2 linked regions of the Macaca fascicularis genome follow. The protein of the gene in region 1 interacts with the protein of each later gene in a pairwise test. Links are inferred from orthologs where the notes say so. Each region holds a gene or a part of one and is shown on either strand. Other genes may lie near its edges. The genes, in order: ATF2 and ATF3.

What was found.
Region 2: the proteins of ATF2 (region 1) and ATF3 interact in binary tests that used the Homo sapiens proteins (3 or more experiments, as listed by UniProt). The link is inferred for Macaca fascicularis from reciprocal best matches to the Homo sapiens genes ATF2 and ATF3.

Annotation. Positions count from the first base shown.
Region 1 is NC_088386.1:70,651,398-70,664,133, reverse strand, and holds part of ATF2 (cyclic AMP-dependent transcription factor ATF-2), read left to right. Parts: intron 1-3,388; coding exon 3,389-3,538; intron 3,539-7,713; coding exon 7,714-7,920; intron 7,921-8,365; exon of another isoform or gene 8,366-8,439; intron 8,440-12,736. UniProt on the Homo sapiens protein: Transcriptional activator which regulates the transcription of various genes, including those involved in anti-apoptosis, cell growth, and DNA damage response.
Region 2 is NC_088375.1:70,364,565-70,377,400, forward strand, and holds the start of ATF3 (cyclic AMP-dependent transcription factor ATF-3), read left to right. Parts: upstream 1-6,710; 5' UTR 6,711-6,787; intron 6,788-12,836.

The sequences.
Region 1 (12,736 bases):
TCAGCCTCCCGAGTAGCCGGGACTACAGGCGCCCACCACCTCGCCCGGCTAGTTTTTTGTATTTTTTAGTAGAAACGGGGTTTCACCGTGTTAGCCAGGATGGTCTCAAACTCCTGACCTCATGATCCGCCCGTCTCGGCCTCCCAAAGTGCTGGGATTACAGGCTTGAGCCACCGCGCCCGGCCACAACTTAGAACTTTTTAAAGCAACAAAGGCAGAGGATAATAAAGGAAGGAGAAAGTAACTTGTGGGATCCTGAGAAAGGTAAAAACACCTTCAAATAAGGAAGAGGAACAGGCTATGACCTAATGCTTGCTTGGACCAGTATAAGCATGCCAGGGCATATATTTAGGCTAAATTGTGGGAGCTAAGAACATAAAGTACATTGATTTCTTTATTACAGCTAGCAGATATTTAAGAATATTAGCACAGGTCTTTGAATAAATTTTGCTTCTAAGAGAAGTTACTATTTATTCCTAATTAGATGGGAGGAAAGTCTTTGAAGAAGAACCTCTAGTTTTTACATCTCACATATAAAATATGTCTGGGATCAAAGTAATGCTTAAGATGACCCTTAAGGACATTTTGAAAATTCAGAAACATAGAAACTCTCCTGATTCTTTGGACCTCCGTACTAAGAAAATAGAGGCCTCAATAGTATTCTTAAAGAAGTAAGGAAACATCTGAAAAATTCTTTTACAAGTCAGATAGTTTTACATGTTACATTTGTTTTTCAACTCAACTCTGCAAGGAAGTTATTATTCCAAGTTTTATAGGTAAAGAAATTGAGACTCAAAGATCAATGTTAAGTTCAAAGTCACAGATAGTTTGAGGTGGAGTTAGGTGCTGAACCTAAAGTGTATTCTCAGCTGTATAAGACCATAGTACATTGCATGTTCTAATCAGTGAAAGCACCAAGATACTACATAAGTGGTAATTGTTATAATTCATGAAGAAGTAGTCTGTCAGAAAAGAGGGAGAAAACATGACTGATCCTGGCTTAGCAGTTGCAGTTAACAGGTTTGGCACTCTCAATCCTTATGATTGTCTTTTGAATCATTAAGCCACAAAGCTTCAGACTCTCTTTCTTGATCTTTCCCTGTGTTTTCTGGTAGCACCAAGGATAAAGTATGCAGCATGGTGCCATGGAAATATTTTGAACTTGAAATTGAAGAGATCTAGGTTTATATCCAGAATTTGAACTAGCTTAACAGCTCTGCATCCTTGAGCAAATGATACCTAGTTTCCTAAAGTGTAAAATGGGGATACTATACAATTAAAAACTCATTAAAAAACTACAGATAATATAGATAATACAGATAATAGATAACACAGATAATACACAGGTGAATCTCAACTGCATTGTGCTAAGGGAAAGAAGCCAGATTCAAAAGGCCATACAATGTATGTTTCCATTTATATGATCTTCTGGAAGAGACAGAACTCTTGGGATCAGAAAATAGATCAGTGGTTTCCAGGGCCAGGGAGGAGAGTATGACAGGAAAGAGCATGAGGATTTTGTTATGGTAAAACTGTTATGTATCCTGATTGTAGGGTAGGTTGCATGAGTGTATTTGTTTGTTAAAATTCAATAGAGGCCGGGCGCGGTGGCTCACTCCTGTTATCCCAGAACTTTAGAAGGCGGAGGAGGGTGGATCACCTGAGGTCAGGAGTTGCAGACCAGCCTGGCCAACATGAAAACCCCGTCTCTACTAAAAATACAAAAGTCAGCCGGGCGTGGTAGCATGGGCCTGTAATCCCAGCTCCTCAGGAGGCTGAGGCAGGAGAATTGCTTGAACCATGGAGGTGGAGGTTGCAGTTAGCTGAGATCATGCCACTGCCCTCCAGCCTGGGTGCAGGAAGAGACTCCCTCTCAAAAAAAAAAAAAATTAATGGGATTGTACACTAAACAGAGTTAACTTGCTATGCGTAACTTATATCTCAAGAAAACTTTTCTTTTTACAAATTGACTTTATTTTAAAAATCACACCCAGAATATACAGTGATTCGCAAGAGAGAGAAAAAATGTCCAGTAACATTTGTTCATGCATAATTACTGCCTCAGTTAAAATTCTGGTGATCTTTTCATATATGCTTCAGATTTTATGGGATCTGGATCACATAGTAAGAAGATAGGCCTAGATGAAAAGAAAGAAATTACAAGTCTTGAAATAGTTATAAAAATTTCTGAATTTTTCTTAGTTGAAGTGAATGGAAATACTTGTACTAGTATTATTTGGGGATCTTTTTCAAAAGCTCTTCTCTCACTCACCCCTTTCTGCTATACTCAGGGAAGGAAGAAAGGAAAAGATTGCCAAGAATATGTGTTCTTAACACTTAACACCCCAGACAGTTATTTACTTCTGAGAAGTTTGGGAAACACTGGGTAGGCTGCAACATAGTTCTCACGTCTCTGTCTCTCTCTTTTGTCTCTAACTCGCACTCGCTCTCACTCTCTTATTAGCCTCCATCCCCCTCAAAGATGCACCTTTATAAGAATCGTAGGAAAGTGTAGTATATATAACTCTGACTCCAATTTCTATAATAATGTATATTTGGGGCCCAAGAACTACATCTTAGTTATTAAGAACAGTATCAGCAATAATAGTCTCAGGTCTGTGGGATCCCCGAAGTCCCTTTCATTGCTAAGGTACTGTGGTATGATTTATCTTTGCAAATTATTTCATATTTACAGATCGTAACAATAAAACCACCTTAAAGATCACATATGACCATTTTCACTAAAGAAATCAATTTCTATCAGTTAACAAGTGTTTATTTTATACCTATGTATCAAATAATTATACCATTTGCTAAAAGGAATACCCAAAAGTATAAGATAATCTCTGCTCTTAAAGAGCTTACTAACTGGTTGGGAGATAAAATAGTCATATATGACAAATTTTTATTGATAGCATAATAAGCTTCACTGAAATTGTATCTTGAGAAAGTGGTAGACATAAATATCTGGGGCCTCATTCTAATACTAGATCTATCATGCTCTGAATGTGAGTCCAATACAATCCAATAATTAACTGGCAAACTGCAACATCAAAAGAGAACTAGATCTGCTTACTGGGGACAGGAAAAACCTAAGAGAGAGAAACTCAGCTGTAGGTTCTAGGAGGAGGCTCAGTTTGTCCCCATTTGATCTCTGTTTGCAGATTTGGTGCCAGTGCTTACTTGGCCAATGACACGATGTTACATTTTTAAGGCCTTTATTATTATTTTCTCAAAATTCACTAGAAACAGCAAAATACATAATCCTCTAGTAGTACTAGGCAAAAAGACTCAAGGAAACTACCTAAGATCTCACTGTTTGTCTTACCGATATTCATGATGATCTTTAAGGACTTAAAAAAAAATTTTAATGGTGTTTGCATTTCAGAGATTAAAAGCTGCTTTGACCCAGCAACATCCTCCAGTTACCAATGGTGATACTGTCAAAGGTCATGGTAGTGGATTGGTTAGGACTCAGTCAGAGGAATCTCGACCACAGTCATTACAACAGCCAGCCACATCCACTACAGAGACTCCGGTATGTGTGTTGTTTTTATTATTCAGCACTCTGTCATCTTTAAACAGACAAGTACAGTATAACTTATGACTTATTTAAAAAATATTATTCTGGTCATGTTGTTATTCCAAAGGGGTATCAAAAGCCTTAGGAAAAGGTAGCTCAGTGTACAAGAATTGATACAAAAATAAACATAATAGAGCGGTTGTTCTGTTTAGGACACCTGTAACTATTTCTGTGGGTGTCCATATATGTTGGTCTGACGTGGCACGATTCTTTTTAAAGAAAATATCTTTTTCTGTTGATTTTAGGACAGTGAAACTAAATACTGCTTTGAGAAATTTCCTTTACTCTCTGTTTCCTGATTGAGGAAGTTTATAGAGTTATGACTTTGGAAAATAGTTATATAACTAGAAAAATAATATTAGAACCTTATAGTGAGAAGAATGAAATTGTATCTTGTTTTCTTATTGTCCAAAACTACAAATTTGACATAAACCATAACTAATAACACTAGATATTTTTTCTTGCTGTGGCATAAACAGGTTTGATTTGACCTATTCTCCTATGTAACCAAGGTATTGAGGTTATAGGAAAATTTAATAGGTTAAGTTCTGTAAATTTTATAGACAATAACTTCTTTGTTAAGGGATGCTGTGTTCTTCAGAAATGTATATAACTAAATCTTATGTTCTTTTTCAAGTAGCAAAACTAAGATTTCTAAAGAATCTTTTTGGATCTCGTCTTAAAAAATTATTGATTTTGCTTTTTCCTAAAATGCCATATGTTTGTGATTACAATGCATATCATATTTTAGTATTGTGTTGCCATGTACAACCATTAAAGTGTGTATGTCCCAAAGAGGCAGATGTTTTTTTCTGTTTCCGATACTAGCAGAACAAATAATTCTTGTTTCTGCTTTTAATATTTGCTCACTCATTGTAAAACATTACTCTTTGTTATTTATTTGTATAAGTAACCTTATCTCACTTGTAGGTAATCAGAAGTCTTTTAGAGAAATATGTAGATAAATATTCACACACATACACACATATGTAGGTATTACATTACTAACATAAATCAAATGGTTGCTGAATTAAAACTTGTGAAACATCACCAAAGGAGCAAATACGCTTTATGGCAGCTGTTTATACTGGAGACCCCTTTCACTTACCTCTAGTCTGTGACTGCCTGTGAGATGATTGATATTGTTATATGCCTGCAGTGCCTTTCTAATTCTTTCTAGTAAAGGATTATTGTACTCCTGTTAAGTGTTTCAGAATTCTATTTAGACCTTTTATCTTTACTTGAAGAATATTAGCATTGGCATTAAAAAGCAAAAGTTTTCAATCAAAGAAACACACATAAACAAGTTTTAGATTGCCACCTAAGCATAAGTATTTACATAACTGCATCTTGTCTTTTAAAAACTTAACATAATGAAATGTAGTTGTGGTTGTCATCCACTAAACAGCTTAGGGACCAAAAGGGAAAATGAGAGGCTGAGTGATTGTGTATGTGTGTTAATGTTATACCTCAGGGTTTAACAATGTTTCACAGGCCATATGCAACCCATGGGTGTTTTTTTGTGGTCTGCAAGTTAAGTATGACTTTTTACATTTTTAAAGGGTTATTTTTAAAAAATGAATATAATTTATTTTTATTGTCCTTTCTTGTACTAACTATAGTTTTCCTGGATCTAATTTTTATTTGTATATTTATATGTTGTTGTATTGGATGGAAGCCCCATGAGGGCAGGACTTTATCTGTTTGTTCACTGCTATACTTAGTTTCTAGAATAGTTCCTATAAGTATTTTCTGAATGAAATGGAATGAATTAATCAATAGACATGGGACGAGAAGGAGCAGTATACACTTCTAAGAAGCCTCCAATCCTTGATAGGCATAAAGATATACAACTATAACTCTGAGTAGCAGAAATTAAGCTTCTGCTATTCTTCTAGTACTTATGATTAGTCTTTGCTGTAATGAGTTAAATCAATTAAAACCAAAAATAAACTGTTCTCTCTTATTCAGCCAGCTGAGTAAAAGAAAAAACCTACTATTCTCAGTAAGAAAAATAGGAGGATGTGGCTCACGCCTACAATCTCAGCACTTTGGGAGCCCTAGGTGGGTGGATCACCTGAGGTCAGGAGTTTGAGACCAGCCTGGCCAACCTGGTGAAACACCATCTCTACTAAAAATACAAAAGTTAAGCTGGGTGTGATGGCGGGCGCCTGTAATCTGAGCTACTTGGGAGGCTGAGGCAGGAGAATCACTTGAACCCGGGAGACAGAAGTTGCAGTGAGCCAAGATCACGTCATTGCACTCCAGCCTCGGCCACAGAGCGAGACTCTGTCTCAAAAAAAAAAAAAGGAAAATAGGAGAATGAAGAAAAAATTTCAATATTGCAAATCTTGAAGCCAACCATAGAAATATTTTTCTAAAACATTAAGTTACAATTACGTAGGTAAAAGAAACACTCTAATTTAAATGCTTAATCTTTATTACAATTAAAATACTACTTTTTTGAGACGGGATCTTCCTCTGTTGCCCATGCTGGAGTGCAGTGGCACAGTCATGGCTCACTGCAGCCTCGACTTCCCAGGCTCAAGCAGTCCTCTCCCACCTCAGCCTCCTGAGTAACTAGGACCACAAGCACATGCCGCCACACTTGGCTAATTTTTTAAATTATTTGTAGAGATGAGGTTTTGCTATGTTGCCCAGGTGTGAAATACTTTATAAATGAAATAACTCTCTCTGTAATGCTAGTTGTTTGGACAAAGAAATGATAACTTTATTTTTTGGAATTTTTTAGAGTGAAAAATAGTTTGGTAATTTACCTGCAGAATTTAACTTGAGCCTTATGTAAGATTTGTATTACATAGATTAGGAGAAAACAAATTTTCTTTGTGCATACCATTTTTAAATATAATAAATCATAGGTAAAAGATTGTTTTCAGGCTTCTCCTTTGGATTATGTGCCTATAGCCACAAAGTGTTCTTTTCTCTGCACCATTTCCAAGAGCTCATTTTCTTCTTTCTTTTTTTTTTGTATTTTTTGATGCTGAGTCTTGCTGTATTGCCCAGGCTGGCATGCAGTGGTGTTAATCTTGGCTTACTGCAACCTCTGCCTCCCGGGTTCAAGCGATTCTTGTGCCTCAGCCTCCCGAGTAGCTGGGATTACAGGCATGCACCACCACGCCCAGCTAAATTTTTTGTATTTTTAGTAGAGACAGGTTTTCACCATGTTGTCCTGGCTGGTCTTGAACTCCTGACCTCAGGTGATCCGCCCTCCTTGGCCTCCCAAAGTTCTGGAATTACAGGCATGAGCTACCACGCCCAGCCAAGAGTTCATTTTTTGACACCCATATTCATTTGTTCTGTGGCACAGTTTTGGGGTTCATGAAAGGCTTGAAGGTACCCATTGTTTTATAGTCTTAAACACTAGACAGTATTACTAGTGACTGAAGGTCTCCTTTTTTCTCTGGCTAATATGAGATAACCAAGCTGATTCACTGGGGAGCAGAGGGAATAATTAAAATGAAAATTAAGGTTCCTGTGGGATTCTCCCTATCAGAAAAATGAGCATTAATAAATACAAGAACTTGACCCTTAGAAAAAGACTGACCGTAAATTTCACGAACTGAAGAAAATCGGAATATACCAAAGAATATACATATTTTCACTTCATAACTTTAGAGAAACCAATTTTCTTTAAGAAAATTGACATTTAATATGAGATATTTTAACTTAAAAATAGCATAGAAATCTTGGTTTTCTATCATGAATTTAAATAGGAAGTTATTAAACATTTTGAGAAATTTATAATCAGCAGTTTTCCAGGGATTGAATAATACAATAAAATCTGTTAAAATACACTTGGAAAAATATTTCTATATATCATTTGTATCATATTTTAAATTTTTTCATATTTGTATGTAAATGAAAATATTATATATAAAGAATACATTTGCTGTGACATTGCATTAGTGAGAATTGTGTTATAGATAGCTCCTAACATAAGTATATTCAAGAAAGACGTTAAACCACATTTTCATATTGTCCCAACATACTGATGTATTCAACAAAACTTAGAAAATAAAATTGCTGTCCCCCTTTGACACCGTTTACTGCCTATGTTAATTCACTCACTAGATACAAATATAACAAGCTTTCATCTCTGTTTATAATAGGCTTCTCCAGCTCACACAACTCCACAGACCCAAAGTACAAGTGGTCGTCGGAGAAGAGCAGCTAACGAAGATCCTGATGAAAAAAGGAGAAAGTTTTTAGAGCGAAATAGAGCAGCTGCTTCAAGATGCCGACAAAAAAGGAAAGTCTGGGTTCAGTCTTTAGAGAAGAAAGCAGAAGACTTGAGTTCATTAAATGGTCAGCTGCAGGTAAGGTGCATATATGTGAATTTTGTTTTATTTCTTTTTTAATAATTGTGAACATAGCTTTTTTTTTTTTTTTTTCTAGTTGGGCCTCCATACATTTTAGGACATAATATTGGGTGTGTATGGAATCTATAGTAAATCATAGTTTTGTAAACCTGTTTGTTTGGATGCTGAGATTAAATAATATAAAGCTTTCAACACTGATACAATGAAGAAATTTAAAATATGTTTACCTGCGTACAGAAGTAGCTAAACTATCTGGTTTGAACTTTATAAAGTTGTGATATAAAGTGCAGAGAATTTTAAAATTTAAAAATATCACTGTTATTTCACTTTTCTTGTCTATTTTTTTGGTTTATAGCACAACTATAAAGTTGCTTCAGTAGCAGTTTTTGAATTCTTTCATTCTTTGAATTATAAATTTTGTTCTGTTTTGTTTTATTTAAAGTGAATATATTGCTCGTGAAAGGTGCCAGATTGACAGCTTTGGAAACTGAAGGACTCTAATTATCCACAGACCAGGTACACTATGGCCAGTGGCAGTACAGATCATTTCATACTGCCCTGCCAATGTGCCTCAGATACATTTCTTAAAACCTCATGGAGTATAAAGTTTTAAGGCAGCACCAAATCTGTTTCCTTTGTTTTTCTTCCTTCCTTTTGTTTTTGTTGTGTTTTTTCAACGTAAATATTCTCCCATATAATCTTAAACTACCAATTGATAAGTATCAACTAGAAAACTGATGTTAATAAATTGCACTTGTTATTAATCTAGCTAAATCTTCTGAATTATCCATACTCAGTTAAAAATGAATCTTTCTGTATAATCATAATTGATGGTAAGAGACCTGCTGTCTTCTTAAATCTGTCTTTAAGATATCACCAATATAATTGTCTGTTTAAATGGTTAGGAAACAGTTTTTAGCTAAATCAGACATAGCATTTAACCAAATGTAAGTTTTATAATTTAAATTTTTTTAATGCGAAGCAGACATCTTTCAAGTCTTTATTGTGCTTTGAATATTGACATGATAGAACAAATAGATTGTCTTGCAGAACTTATTTTTAATGATTTTAATGATTTAGAAGAAATTTTTAATACAATGTACCACATCACATAGACTTAAAATTTGTACTTATCTTCTAGGATTTATTAAGACATATATTTTATTATTTATCATCTGATAAATTGTTTTTTGTTTTTGAAACGGAGTCTCTCTCTGTCACCTGGGCTGAAGTGCAGTGGTGCAATCTTGGCTCACTGCAACCTGCAGCTCCCGGGTGCAAGTGATTCTCCTGCCTTAGCCTCCCAAGTAGCTGGGATTACAAGTGCACACCACCACGCCCGGCTAATTTTTAGTAGCGATGGGGTTTCACCATGTTGGCTAGGCTGGTCTTGAACACCTGACCTCAGGTGATCCACCCGCCTTCAGCCTCCCAAATTGCTGGGATTATAGGCTTGAGCCTCTGTTCCTGGCCCATCATCTGATAAATTTTTAATCAAGAACAAGTTTCAGAAATTTTTAGAAAACATTTCTAAATTTTCTTTTTTTTTAAATAATATAGACTGTAGGTGCTAATTTATGCTGCAAAAATGGCTATTTTATATCAACTCTGTTATATTTATTATTAAATTTTCAGATATTATTACATTAATGAAGTGATTTAGGTGTATTTTTTTCCGTTCTTGACTAACAAAATCTTCTGAATGACCTGCTCTCTTTTAGTTGTATGACATAAAACACAATCACTGTTACCTTCAGTTGTCTTACCTATATAATAGATGTGGTAATACCTGATGGTCTTACTTCTCTGTATTGTTACATAAATCAGTCAATTCAAGGGTTTCTTCCTACAGAAAAACTAGTAAGACAGATTTACCGTTATTTTCCTTTGTAATTTGGCTTATTGTGCCTTATTTAAGAAGTAAAAGCACCTGAAAACTATGAAGTAGTACATACATATATGTTATTATTTACAGGAATTTTAAGCTAGGCAAGTTTTCTGCTTTGAACCATTTTAGAGCAATCTTAATAGTTTTTAATGAGATATTGCTGTTCCTTAGTTATACTGCAGCACTGGTTACCACTATTAGCCCTTTATTATTGTAGAAAACCATGGAAAATTCAGTATTCAAAAGAAATATAATCTTGACCCCATTTATTTCATGTTTTTTCTATCACAATCTATGATTAAAATGTCATTATTTTAGCAGTGCTTTGTATATACTTCCTAATTTGGGTAGAAGTTTTTTGATTGGAGAAATAAAGATAAGATTTATCGGGCCGGGCGCGGTGGCTCAAGCCTGTAATCCCAGCACTTTGGGAGGCCGAGACGGGCGGATCACGAGGTCAGGAGATCGAGACCATCCTGGCTAACCCAGTGAAACCCCGTCTCTACTAAAAATACAAAAAACTAGCCGGGCGAGGTGGCGGGCGCCTGTAATCCCAGCTACTCGGGAGGCTGAGGCAGGAGAATGGCGTAAACCCGGGAGGCGGAGCTTGCAGTGAGCTGAGATCCGGCCACTGCATTCCAGCCTGGGCGACAGAGCGAGACTCCGTCTCAAAAAAATAAATAAATAAATAAATAAATAAATAAATAAATAAATAAAGATTTATCATTAGGTAGAAGTTTGCTGACATCATTTTTTGAAGCATGAGACTATTAAATGGAAGCTAAATTTAGGAAATCACTAAATTAAGCTCTACATTTGAACTTGAGTTTAATATCTCAAATTATGTACAGAACAAGTAAAACCAGTATTTTTAATCGTTAAAAACTGGGTGATGATGGCATCGTCTTAGATTTAGAAATGCATTTTAAAATAGGAGCCAAAATGATATATTATCGAGGATTTTATTTAAAATGCTTCTCCAAAAAAAAAAAAAGTATTATATCCATCTATTTATGTTAACCTGGGAAAATATCTATAGTATATATATTTGTATGGGCAAAAAGAAAGTTGTTGGAAACAGCCCAAATATCCATCCAAGCTGAATGGATAAACAAGTTATGGTTTATAAGTACAATGAAATATTATTCCGCCATAAAAAGGAATGAAGTATATACTATGGTGTAGATGAACCTCAAAACATTATGTTAAGTGAAAGAATACAGAACAAAACATCAGATGTTGTATGATTCCATTTATGTGAAATACCCAGAATAAATAAATCCATAGAGAGAGAAGGCATATTAATGGGGGAGGGAGAATAGGGAGAAACTGCTTAGCGAGTAAGGGGTTTTACCTTGGAGCGATGGAAATGTTTTGTTACTAGACAGAGGGTGGTAGTTGTACAACATTGTGAATGTACTAATGCCAGTTTAAACTGATTACCTTTATGTTATATGAATTTCACCTCAGTAAATTACCAAAAAAGGTCAGTTGCATCTTAATTAAGCATTATTATTATGCTTAATAAAGCATAATCCTTTCTTATTAATAAAAAGGTTTACAGTTAGATGGGTAAATGCATAGGTATAGGAACTGGTATAAAAATGACTCCCTAAGTATAGTTAGCATTTTAGGAATGACATGTACCAACGTGCAAACAATGGTGAGGAGGGAATTGAGAGTGTGGATGGTTTAGAAAGAAAGGGTACTTCAACTATGACTTTCTGTTATTGTTTCAAGTCGATATATTATTTTGACTTTTTGTTGTTTTCTACTTATTTGTCAAGTAAAGTAAGTTTTTTAAATGTGACAGATTTTAGCTTTCAGAGTGTGAAGAGTTAACATGCCTATAATAGATTCAGGGAGAAAAATTTCCTTCAGTCTGCCAACAGCAAAACCATTAACTGTGAAGAACAGAATGACTTGTAAGGAAAATTGAACGTCAAAGAAATAATTATACCCTACTTTATGTGAAAACTTTAATCAATTCTGTATTTTCTTGATGATCCTTCATGTGACATGCAAGCTTAGCTGATCAGTGTAGTGGGCAGTAATGACCCATAGTTTACTTATAAGTTTTATATGTGATACAAGGTTTAGCAAGTGTTGAGGTATGATTGTTCATATTTTTACCAAATACATATTAGGTCTTAAAGAAAATATATTCAGCCTTATTGCCGCATTCACTAAATTTAGTATTGTTTTAGTTTTCCCAAATCATTGCTAAAAGAGCAATTTCATCAAATTATATTAGAGACATTTATGGTAATCTAGACCAAAAATTGAATACTGTTGGTTATAAATTATTGGGGGGTTTTTTGTTTGTTTGTTTGTTTTTGAGACAGAGTTTTGCTCTTGTTCCCCAGGCTAGAGTACAGTGGTGCAATCTCAGCTCACCGCAACCTCCCCCTCCCGGTTTTAAGTGATTCTCCTGCCTCAGCCTCCTGAGTAGCTGGGATTACAGGCGTGCGCCACCACGCCCGACTAATTTTGTATTTTTAGTAGAGACGGGTTTCTCCACATTGGTCAGGCTAGTCTCGAACTCCCAACCTCAGGTGATCTGCCCGCCTCGGCCTCCCAAAGTGCTGGGATCACAGGCATGAGCCACTGCACCCAGCCAATTATTGTATTTTTAAAGTAATATCTGTTTATTAATTTTGTTATCTTTTACTTGAAATGGTTTTTACTGTTTATAAGCTTTGTCTTTCAAGTTATACTCATTGTGGGGGTTAATTTTCAGTTTATAAATGTAGCATGTTTCCTTATGAACAAAAAGCAGATTCCTTTTCTTTACTAACAGTAGCTGCTTAACATTTACTCTGTGGGTACAACTTGATAATTATTTTTGTGTGGATTTGGCTGTTATATTAGGTTGGTGCAAATGGAATCACAGTTTTTGCCATTAAAAGTATGTTTTGCCGTTAC
Region 2 (12,836 bases), on another chromosome or scaffold:
TTCATTTATTGAGCGCCGACTGTGTCCAGGGCCGAGGGAGGGGAGGGGTTTCCACGCGGGGAGACCCCTCGGTTCTCGCCTCGGTAAGCGCCCGCTTTCCAGCACCTCGAGTCGCCCGTGGGCCCCCACCCCTCGGGCTGGACCCGGTCCTCAAGGAAGACCCACGGCGGAGCAGGAATGGACGAGGAAAGCCGCGGTCCTTGCCCGCCTCGTCCCCTCTATCCGCCTTCACCTCACTGGACCCCAGGGAAGCCGCTGGAGCTAAAATTAGCAACCCGCGCGGCGCGCGCTCACGTGCCCGCGGCCGGGCGGGGGCGGGGAGCAAGGGGCGCGGTCCGGGTGACTCACCGGCCCCGCCCCAGTCGCCAAGAACGCGCTGACGTCAGGCGCTTCCCCGAAGGGTGACGTAAGCGCGCCACGGGGAGGCCGAGGCAGCTGATAGAATGTTCTGAGTTTCGATGCCTTAAAGGGACCAGGCTTGCTATCGTGAAACTTCTGGGGAGATGACTCCACTCACACACCTGCAGGCTCAGAACCCATCTTGTACCCTTTTATACTTAAAGAGAGTTGACTGTTGAGATGATGATGAACACGGTAGAACAACCGAGCCTAGTTGGAGGCTCTTTGAAGTCCCAGAACCTCTTCCTGGAAGCCCTCCTTGGTTAGCCAGATGGACATCTCAGTTGCCCTCTGAGCCTGAAGCAAGTGTCAGGAAGAGTTTTCTATGGCCCTTGACTCTCTAACCCTTCCCTTATGGCGTCTCTGCTGTCTGATGCCTCTGCTGTCAGAGAAAAGCTGTAGTTTAAACATTTATTTTTGAATCCATCAACTTCGGCCAACTAGGCCCATTTATCACTGTTTCAACTGTGTCTAAACTGTCATTAGTGGTGTGACCAGAAACCAGTTAATATCTTTGGGTGGTAAATTCGTGGACTGATCTCCAAACCCTCCTACCATGCTAATATTGCCAATGAAGGTTTCCAGAGGCCAGGATCCTTGGCCAACACATCATTGTAAACAACATGACAGCCTTACAGGGAACTCACAGTTTACTGAGGTTTGCTCTGTGCCAGGTGTTTTCATGAGCCTCCGTCCTCCTGTCGTTTAATCCTCTTCTCTGAGGTAGGTACTGTCCTCCCCATTTTACTGATGAGGATAGAAATCAAGGCACGCAATTAAGCATGTTTCGCTGGGTCACACAGCTAATGAATGGCGAGATGGAAGTCAGTCCCAGGTCATCAGGCTCCAAAGTTCATGGTTTTGGTGATGAAGGTGGGCTGTGAAATGTGTGTCTTATTCTGTGCATGTGAGTCCCCTAGACCCAGCTTTTCCACTTGTAACACAATCTCAGTGCCTTTCAGCAGGTAACCCGCGCCAGACCAGATCTCCAGAGATGGAGGTGGCGGACCTCAGGGCCCAGACACGGGAAGGTGTATGAGGAGGCATCGCATCAAGTGCCCACCCTGTGCTTGCAGAGCCTGACCATGAGCACCGCCTTCAGTTTTGCATCTTAGGCACCCCACTTGGCTCTCCATCCCAGCCCTGCCAGGCCCACCCTTGACTCTGTGTTTCCTTTTTGGAAACTCGAGAGGCCATTCTACTTAAAGAGTCCTCACCTGGCCTACCAGCGACCAGATGTGCCCAAGTGCAGAAGAAACACTTTGTTATCTCCTCTATCATCGTCCCCTCTCAAGCATAAAACAACATAAAGTTTCCCATCGGAACAGCACGATTGTGCCAAAAACAAATTAGAAACAACAACTACTTCGCAAAATTTTGAGCAAAGTGATGGTAACTGTGTCCTGGAAATGAAGCAAAGTGAGTGAGCCACTGTCACTGTTACCGTCTGACAATCACTACTGGTCCTTGGCTAACTATTGCAGCCCCTTCCTCAGGCTACACATGCCAGGTGTACCAGAAGCACCTTCCACCTCCAGCTGACTCCTGGGAGATGTTTAGAGCTGACTCCTCTCCCCACCCGCCCCCAGTCTCCAGCCACCAGCAGGCTCTCTCCTTGGTGTCCCCAGCTCCTGCCCCTCATACTGATAGAAGCATTGCCCACTGCTCTTCCAGTTCTTACAGGTTTCCTAGTGCCTGTGACCAAACACCTTGTGTGTGCTCCTCAGGAGAGAAAAACTGCTGGCAGCCTCAGGTATTGTTGGGGGTGGGGGCATGGGGGTTCTGTGGGGACAGGAACTTCTTCCTCTGTATTCGGGGTGGACACACACACACATGGAAACTTAGAGTGGTATGCTACCTCCAGGCCAACCAGGCAAGCCCCTGTTTTATAACTAAGGTCTAGGTGAGGTGGCCTCCCCGGGTCCTACGGCCTGTTAGGGGTAGAGATTTCTAGTTACTTGACTTCCAGCCTGCTTCTTTTCCATGGATCACACACACACCACTGTTATAAGATGCAGGTAGGACAAAGGGCATGAATGTGCATGGCAAATGGGAACATGTCATATATACGATGGAAGGGAAGACAAATGATATGAAGTAAATATAGACATGAAATCATAGGGAAGAATTGGAGAACACGATTTCTGATAACCACTGGCTATTCCCACTTCCTCTTTCCTTCTGCCTCCCACCTTGTTTGAAGACAGGTGAGCTGTTCCTCCTCAGACCCAGGAATCATTTCCCAGTGGAATGACACAGTGAAGTGGATTGCCATTTTTAAACCTTCAGTAATAAAGATCTTGTTTGTCATTTCAATTTTAATTTTTTATCTTCCAGTCTTTACTCTCCATCATTTCTTTATCCCAGAAGCCCCATTAAATGTCATTAAGAACCATAAATGTAACTGGCCACTAATGTGGAAGGATTGTGATCTCCGGCAAACAGCCCTGGCAAGCAAAAGAACAGGAATCCTGGGTCAGTGTCCAACTGTGCCTGTGACTCATTGTGTGACACAAAGCAAAGCTCCACTTTTGCGGAAGGAGAGCCATGGGGCAGCGAGACACACATGGTCTGCACCCTGACAGAGGTGGAAGGGTTTCCCTGCTTGCTGGAAGCTCGGGGGTCCCTGGTGGAATCCAGTTCCATAGTAACTCCTTAGCAATGGCCATGAGCTCTGCCTCCAATGGAGACACTACCATGGGTTGGGCTGAATTATGGCACTTGCCCTTCATGACATCATTCTCATAGGTTAGGAATGCACCCTGATTATTTCTAACTCCACTTTAATAACTTGTTCTGGATCTGCCCTCCAGGAATTTATTTGAAACTTTCATTCTATTTATATTTCAGCCTGTACAGCCTTTTCAGGCAACAAGTAGATTTACCATTTATGTAAAAACTCTTAAATTCTAAAACACAGGAAGTGCTGCATAATGGTTTGTTATAATAATCATCATCACAATAATTTGATATCTGTATTGTTACACATAACAAATATTATATTACAGTTTGATGATAATTATTCATGCAGATGGCCTCACAGGCTTCATATTTTCAACCACTCACTAGCTTTCTGTTTATCCCCCCACCCATCTCTCCCCAACCCCAATCAAAAAGAATCTCTTGGCTGGGAGCAGTGGCTCATGCCTTTAATCCCAGCACTTTGGGAGGCCGAGGCAGGAGGACTGCTTGAGCTCAGGAGTTTGAGACCAGCTTGGGCAACATAGTGAGACCTCATCTCAATTTTTAAAGATTTTTTTTTTTTTATATGGAGTTTTGCTCTTATTACCCAGGCTGGAGTGCAATGGCATGATCTCAACTCACCACAGCCTCCGCCTCCCGGATTCAAGCTATTCTCATGCGTCAGCCTCCCGAGTAACTGGGATTACAGGCGTGTGCCACCATGCCTGGCTAATGTATTTTTAGTGGAGATGGGATTTCTCCATGTTGGTTAGGCTGGTCTCGAACTCTGGACCTCAGGTGATCCGCCCGCCTTGGCCTCCCAAAGTGCTGGGATTTCAGGTGTGAGCCACCACGCCCAGCCAGAAATTTTTTTAAGTGTCATAGTGAAGATAAGGGGCAGGGGAAGCATTTATTAATGGAATGAGGTGCTGTAATGGGTGCAACTCTGCGCAGAGACTTACCTAAACAGATTCAATGTCCTCTAAGGACTTGTTATCTAAGATGAACATATGGTAGGTGCTTGTCTTAGTCAATTTGGGCTGCTATAACAAAATACCATAGACTGGGTGGTGTAAACAACAGATATTTATTTCTTACAGTTCTGGAGCCTGGGGAATTCAAGATCAAGGTGCTAGCAGATTAGTGTCTGGTGAGGACTGGCTCCCTGGGTTACAGACAGCTGCCTTCTTGCTGTGTCCTCACGTGGCCTTTCCTTGGTGTTGTGCCTGTGAAGAGAGAGAGCTCTCCTATCTTTTCCTCTTCTTCTAAGGGCACTAATTCCATCATGAGGGCACCATCCTCATGACCTAATCTAAACCTAATGATCTCTCAAAGGCTGCACCTCCAAATACCATTAGACTTCGAGTTAGGGCTTCAACATACAATTTTGGAGGAGACACAAACATTCATTCCATTTATTCAGTGCTCAATAAATATTGGATGTATGAATGGATGGAATAAAAAAAGGTAAACCTGTGTGGTAATTGGATAGAAAACACATGGACATACAGTCATGTGCCACATGACGTTTCAGTCAATAATGAACTGCAGATATAACAGTGGTCCCAAAAGATATAATGGGCCAGGAGTGGTGGCTCACACCTGTTATCCCAGCACTTTGGGAGGCCAAAGCGGGCAGCTCACTTGAGGTCAGGAGTTCAAGACCAGCCTGGCCAACATGGTGAAACCCTGTCTCTACTAAAAATACAAATATTAGCTGATCATAGTGGCAGGTGCCTGTAATCTCTGCTACTTTGGAGTCTGAGGCAGGAGAATAGCTTGAACCTGGGAGATGGAGGTTGCAGTGAGCTGAGATTGCACCATTGCCCTCCAGCCTAGGCAACAGAGCGAGACTCTGTATCAAAACAACAACAATAAAAATTAAAAAAAAAAAAAAAGCAAAAAGATATAATGGAGCTCAAATAATCCTGTCATCTAGTGATACAGTTGTCATAACATAGTAGTGAAACGTATTAATGTTATTTTTTTTTGACACAGAGTCTTGCCCTGTCGCCCAGGCTGGAGTGCAATGTCACAATCTCAGCTCACTGTAAACTCCACCTCCCAGATTCGTGATTCTCCTGTCTCAGTCTCCCAAGTAGCTGGGATTACAGATGCCTGCCAACATGCGAAGCTATTTTTTGTATTTTTAGGAGAGATGGGATTTCATGTTGGCCAGGCCAGTCTCGAACTCCTTACCTTGTGATCCGCCCACCTCAGCCTCCCAAAGTGCTGGGATTACAGGTGTGAGCCACTGCACCCAGCCAACCTATTAACTTTTTTATGTTTAGATATGTTTAGATACATAAATACCTAACATTGTGTTACAGTTGCCTACGGTATTCAAAATAGTAACATGCCATACAGGTTTGTAGCTTGGAGCAATAGGTTATACCATATAGCCTAGGTGTGTGGTAGGCTACACTACCTAGGTTTGTGTAAGTACACTCTATGATGTTGGCACAACAATGAAATCACCTAACGATACATTTCTGAGAACATATTCTTGTTGTTAAGTGATGAATGACTGTATATGACATTCTGGAAAAGGCAAAACTATGGAAACTAAAAAGATCAGTGGTTACCAGGGGTTGAGGAGTGGGGATGATGAACAGGTGGAGCACAGAGGGTTTTTGGGGCAGTGAAACTATTCTGTAGGATACAATAATGGTAGATTCTTGTGTTTAAAAATCTGCCCTAACCCATAGAATGTACAACACCAAGAGTGAACCCCAGCGTAAACTATGGATTTCATGTATGAATAATTTGTTAATTAGGTTAATTGATTGTGACAAACGTACCAGCTGGTGGGGGATATTGATAAAGGAAGTGGCTATACAAGTGTGGGAAGAGGAAGTCTGTGGGAAATTGAGTACTTTCCGCTTAATTTTGCTGTCAATCTAAAACTGTTCTACACAATAAAGTTGATGTTTAAGAAAGCCAAGTGAGGTGCTAACACCTTTCTGTAGAGTTCATTCCACTGTAGCGTTACACAGATTTGGGCTGGAATCTGAGCCAAGCCCTGTAACCTGGGGGAAGTTACTTACCCCTCTAATCTTAGTTTCTCTAACTTTACAGAGATTGTAATGCCTTCCTCAGAGTGTTTTGAGAGCTAAATGCAAAACTGTATGTAAAGAATCTAATCCAGCACCTGGATATATAGCATGGTAAATATATACAGGCCTCCTCATTCCTCCCTATGACTGTGATTCTTATCTATTCTGATGGCTACTATTTTCAAAGTCAGGCCAGGGCAAGAAAGCTGTTTTGGGTGAAAGTGTCTTCTACTAGAAAATAATCTGTGCATGAGGGGCCTGTGTGTCCTCATTTGCTCATGTGTGTCCCCAGAGGTGCTGGCTACAGAAGGCCAGACATGCACTGGAGCCCCGGATCAGTGTCAAGCCCCTCACTCAGCTTTCTCCCGTGAAAAGGTCAGGATGATGGAAGGCTGTCATATTTAGATGATGGCTCGCAGGGAAGCCTTGGTGGGTTAGTCACCTATGATATGACATCATATTGCCACTCAATATAGTAACAGCTGTTGGTTGCTTTGGGGGGCAGAGGTGGGGTTAGCTTTAGTTGACCAACCATGCCTTGAGGATAAATTGGATGGGATCAGATGGGAAGATGTGACAAGAAGAGAAATCCTCCTCTATATAGGATGCTCTGCCATTTCCTAAGGATTTTCAGCACCTCGCCCCAAAATGTGAGTCTTGACTTTTTCTCTGGCTTTGGGGCTAAGTGGGAAAAATGTTACAGGAGAAAGGTGTTTGGTCAGGAAGCCTCCAGCTGGGGGAGTACCCATTGTGGCCCTGCTGGGTGGGTGACACCCGGAAGAGGGGTGGGAAAGTGAGCAGTTCGGTGCATATGGCACTCAGTGAAGTGATCTGAGGGATAGGGATCAAAAAGTCCAGGAGTTAGAGTGCTGCAGAAGCTCTAGGTTGGATTAAGGTTTTTACTGACCCCTCTTCAGGTTACATAACACCTGCGGGATGACCTGTGGCATCCCAGTGAGGCAGTGATGTGGTCTCGGTCTCATCCTGGATGAAACCGTGATTTGGGGATACCATTAGTCAGTGCTGTAGTCGATGTAAGGCATTGATTATTCATAATAGGAAGCAATTGGAGTTGGTTAACACCTTCCTTCTAGTGTGTTCTCCTTCTTGACTTTCCTACCTCTTCTGGGGCCCTTGTGTTTTGGGAATAGAATGCTTTGTATCAGCAGTGTAACATGGATAGGTTAACTGGATATAGGCTGGGTATGGGGAGAGCTGGTTCTTCCTGTGCTTAAACGGAATAAGTCCAGAGTGAGGGAGTAAAGATGTTAGAGAGGAAAAGCCCTGGAATGAGGGTCAAGAGATCTTGTTTGGCAGCTAGTTCTGCCAAGTAAAAGCTGTGTGACCTTGGGCAAGTCACTGTTTCTCTTTGGATTTTGGTTATTCCTCTCATCTGTAAAAACGTGTGCACTTGGGGTTCTTCCAGCCCCACTGGTCCTCTTCCATCCTTTAAATGTGGATCTGTGGTTCTGTTGTTGGCAGCCCAGAAAGGGCACAAGTTTGAGTATCTGGCTCTGCCATTTGTTGTGCGACCGTGGACAAAGACACCCCTTCTCTGAAACTCAATTTTCCCATTTATAAAATATGGATTTTTGTGAGACATCAGTGAGGTAAGGAAGCTGAGAGCCTTTTCGGAGGCACGATGTGGATGTAAAGCAACACCCTGAGTTTGGACAGGGCAGGTGGAGTAAGGCAGGCTGAGGGGTGATGTTTGGGGTTACTGGCAGGTTGAACTGTGACCAGGGGCATAGATGGGGTGGAGGTCATGGTCAGCCAGGCCATAGAAACCCCTAGCCCTGTCCTACTCAGTTCTTGTTCCTTCCCCAGCAGCCGAGGGAGGGAAAATAGTTGAGAGGTTATAAATGACGCTGAAAACAGCTCACAGAAGTGGCTGCAAACTGTCTGAGGGGGTCATGCCGCCGGAGCAAAGCGTGTGCTGGGAAGCCATCCAGGGTTTGGGGACCCCTGAAAACTGAGCAACCTCCTGGTTCCTATTGGTGCCCAAGAGGATGCACCGTCTGCACTGCCTGGCATCACTTCCTGGGAAAGTGAAAACTCCTCGTATGGCGACTAATGGATCACGACTGAACAGTGACCAGAGTGACTTGTCTTGAACCGTCTCTGAGGGAAAGTCACAGATTCCCTAGAGAAAATTTCCAAATTCCTGTTTATTCTTCACATAAACAGATTAACCTAGGGGTAGCGATTTTACTTAACTCTTCCTTTCATGTTGCAGGGAAAGTGAAATTGGCCACTTCTTTGAAGCTGTTCTTTGAGCCATAAATATAATTTCTCTTCCCACCCACAGAAAGGGGTTTTCTTTTTCTTTCTTTCCTTCTTTTCTCTTTCTTTCTTTCTTTTTTTTTTTTTTTTGAAGCCCCAGGCTCTGATACGTTCGGAGGTTGGCAGGAGGTGCAGCTGCCGTAGGAGCAGCATGTTGTCCCCCTGCTGACTCATCTGACATTAACATAATTATGTTTCAGGAGTCAAAGTGATTTTCAAACTATGAGTAATGCAGGGTGTTAGAGAGAGTGTTTACACGGCAGTGGGCATTTCAGCACACTCAAGTAACCAGCTGCTGCTAACAGCTGCAATGAGTGAAGGAATAAGAAAATGCTCTCAGGAAAAACAACCCTTCTGTCTCGTGTCTGTTTCTGTGCAAAGGATTCAGATGTCATGAAAGGCAGGTGAACTTAGAGTTCCCTAAGAACCAATTCAGATCTAGCATTGTTATCTGAATGCCTTGATGTCTGATCTTTTTATGGGGAAAAAAATGTCTTTATAGCTTATTTTCCATTTACCCAACTCTAGGGAAAGGTGGATTTAAAGACTTTAGCAAATTATTTATTTTTTATGATGTTACCAGTATTAATAATTATAATAATATTCTAAGGCTGTGCTGCTGCTTCTAAAACAGGAACAAGGACAAAACCCATTTCCCCCAGTTTTAAAGACAGGGGCAGAAGCCCATGGAGAGGGGGACTGGGGAATGTCTTCTTAAAGCTCCTTTGTCTCATTATTATGGGAAAAGTTCTGAGAGACATGGAGTGCAGTGTGCCAAGTATTTAGACCTCAGGAGCGAAAAGCTGGGCTCCAGTCCTGTTCCAGAACTGAATATTGGAATGGGAATGCCTCAATTTCCTCATCTCATAGTGAGAATATTAATAACACTTTCTCTGCCTACATCAGAAAAAGAGCCTTGAACTTTTGTAGGGTAGGGACAGGGTCTGCCCACTACTGTAGCCCCAGTGTCTAACTTAGAGCTGTCACATAGAAGGTGCTCAGTAAGTATTTGCAGAATTAACGAATGAGATAAAAGCTATAAATGCCAGAGCTCTGCTCTTGTGGTTTGCTATTGCATCTAGCAAGGTGTCATTCTCATGGAGAGTGGTCAATAATTTTTTTAATGTGTTAAGAAAAAAATTGTGAACTAATTATACATTCACTTATACATAAGTTATTCATAAACAAATTGGTTATTATTTTGGGGCTACCAAGCTGAATTACACACAAAAGTATTTCTGTTTACTTAAGAATGTCTTTGATGACCAACACAATTTTATTAAGCCTTGTCCCTTGAGTATACATCCTTTGCATGCTCCACATTTGCGCCCTCATGGAAAAAGAAGGAGCCCCGAAGAAAGAGCACACCAAAAACATCGACCTACCCTGAACTAAGAGGCTCAGGTGTGCTTTTGTGAACTACTTGTATTGAGTGATCCCTTCATCCTGGACCCATTAATAATTATTGTTAGGCTTACTTCAAGCAGTAAATCTAAGCCAGTCCATTCACGGCAAATCAATCCAAAATGGCCGTTAAGGAGAGTCAGGATCTGTGGTCCCATCCCAAATATTTGAAGAGGATGCCAGAAAGCAAATTTAGTGTGTCCTCCTGGTGACTGTCATTTGGTATTTCTGTCCTAGGCCAGTTCTCCAATGGGGTAAATGCAGGGTCAGGCATTTCTAATGTCTAAACCTCCACCGCTCTCTTTCTCTCAAAGTTGCATGTCCAATACAGTCGTAATTTCACCTCCCCAACTCCGTCGTTACTGTAGTTCATTAATGTTTGTTGGACCGGCATCCTAATTTGGGTGTGGACGACTATTCCTTAAGGCATCTCAAGTAAAAAGGCTCCTTACTTCTGATCCTGGTTTATTTATTTTAAAAATACTTGTAAACAATTTAATACTAATTTAATAGTGTTTTTAAGTTAGTAGCAGGTTGCTGAAGGATCCAAATGTTTAACATATATTCTAAAATAAACATTGGCTGTTTAGAGCCGTTACAGAATAAACTTATTTGAATTTTTCCCCTAGTACCCTTTTCTTTATTTCTTCTACTCTTTCTTCTTTCCCTCTTTTCCCATCTCTCCCTCCATATTCTTCCTCCCTGCCTTCTTTTCTTTTTATTATCTTGTGTTTCATTTGTTTGTTTGTTGCTTTTGCTAAATGTCTTTCTAAAAAGTATGTCTGGAAGGAGATAAGAGAAACTAATTAAAGAGCCTAGGACGAGGTAGAGAGACTTTTCATCGTATACACTTTCTGACTTTGAATTTTTAATCATGGCAATACTTTTTGCCCAATAAAAAAGTTAACCAGAACAGAGTTGTACATCCTTCTTGCTTTCATTTTTCCACTTTTCTAATGCGAGCCTATTTCCTTCTTACTAGGATGAAAGACAGGAATGGCTTCCAAAGGGAAACGGGGAAAAGAGAAGGGAGACGGTAGACAGAAGCTCAATGCCTGTGTGTCCACAGTGGAGATGCAGGGGAAAGAGCTAGTGTAACAGAACCAATACTTTTTTTTGTTTTTTTTTCTTTTCATTTGAAATGTAAACATCTTCCCACTTCATTCTTTCCACCTCATAAGAATTCTTCTTCTTCTACAACATAATTTTTAATGATTGTACAAGAGTCCCAAGTTAATGTAATATTTTTGTACTGTAGTTTACCTTACTAATACTCTATGTTAAATATTTGGGTAATATCTGATTCATCAATATTGTAAATAGTACTGTAATAAACATTATTGTAGCTAAATCTACGTTCATGGCAATTCTTATTTACTTTAAATATATTTCCTCAAAAAGAATCAACATATTTCTCAAAAATAAATAAACTAAATAATATATGAATCATACAGTCTTTGATATATGTAGCTCTTGATGTAATTTTAATTTCTATAAACACAAAGAAATTTTTTCCATGTTTGTTAACTAGTTTATTTTCTGTTTATGAATCTTCTGTTCAGAGCCTTTGCCTGTACATCTGTTGGAATCTTAATATCTGCAGTGATTTAAAATGTTTTATACATATATAAGATATATCAACAAAGACCTCCCTATTATTTTTTTTGAATAATAATAATTCCCTGGCTTGACATTTACATTTGAATGGAAGTTATATTTATATATTTTTGGCACAGAGAGATTTTAAGATTTAAAGTAATCGAATCTGTCAATTTTTTTTTCTGGAGAATGACTTTTTCTCATATAGAACTTTAAAAACTATTTCATATTTTCTTCTAATAGAAAACAGCCTTTTAAAGATAAAATTTCCATATTTTATGTAATTACAGGGAAATGCATAAATCTTAAATAGATCATTCAGTGAGTTTTGACAAATGACAGATGCATATGCTTTTCAAGATATAGAACTTAAAGGGTATGACTTTTTCAGGTGATGGTTGCACATATCTATGAGGATACGAAAAAACAATGAATTGTACCCTTTAAATAAGTGTGTTATGTAAATCATATCTACAGACCTTTTTAAAAAATAAAAATTACCATCATCCTGGAAAGCTTCCTCGTGTTCTCTCCCAGCCTGTCCTCACTCCCATACTACCTATATAGGCAACCACAAATTTTAGTTTTTTCGTGATTAGTTTGGTCTGTTTTTGACCTTTATGTGGAATGGAGTCACACAGCATGAACTCTTTTGCATAAGGTTTCTTTGACAGCGTAATGTTCTTGAAATTCATCTGTGTTGGTAAGCTTCAGGAATTTGTGTCTTTTTGTTACTAAAAGTAAGCTTTCATTATAGTATGTCTATATGACAGTTTGTTTATTCATTCCTCTATTGATAGACACCAGGCTGTCCCCAGTTTGGTCCCATTATGAATAATGAAACTGTGAACATTCTTGTAAAAGTCCTTTTATAGACATATGCTTTCATTTTTCTTAAATACCTATGGATGGAATTTCTGGCCATAGGATAGATGTATACTTCATTTTATAAGAAACCACCAGCCTTTTCTCCAAAGGAGTTATACCATTTTACACTCCCACAAGCAATGCATGAGAATTCAGTTGCTCCAAAGTTTTGTCAACATTTGGTGTTGTCAGACATTTTTATTTTAGCCATTCTGTTAGGTGTGCAGTAGTAGCTTATTGTAATTTAAATTTGCATTCCCTTGATAAAGTTATTGAACACTTTTTCATGTGCTTCTGATTTTTCTTTATTTTATTTTAATGTGTATGTATTTTACATCTAACTATGTCTATCCATCAAAAGTTATTTTGATTATGATTTGAGGTAAATCTCTAGATTAATTTTTTTCTAAATAATCAGTTAACCCAGAACAATGTATTGAATAATACTTTTATTGTTATTATATATATTTTTTTGAGATGGGAATCTCACTCTGTTGCCCAGGTTGGAGTGCAGTGGTGCAATCTCGACTTACTGCAACCTCTGCC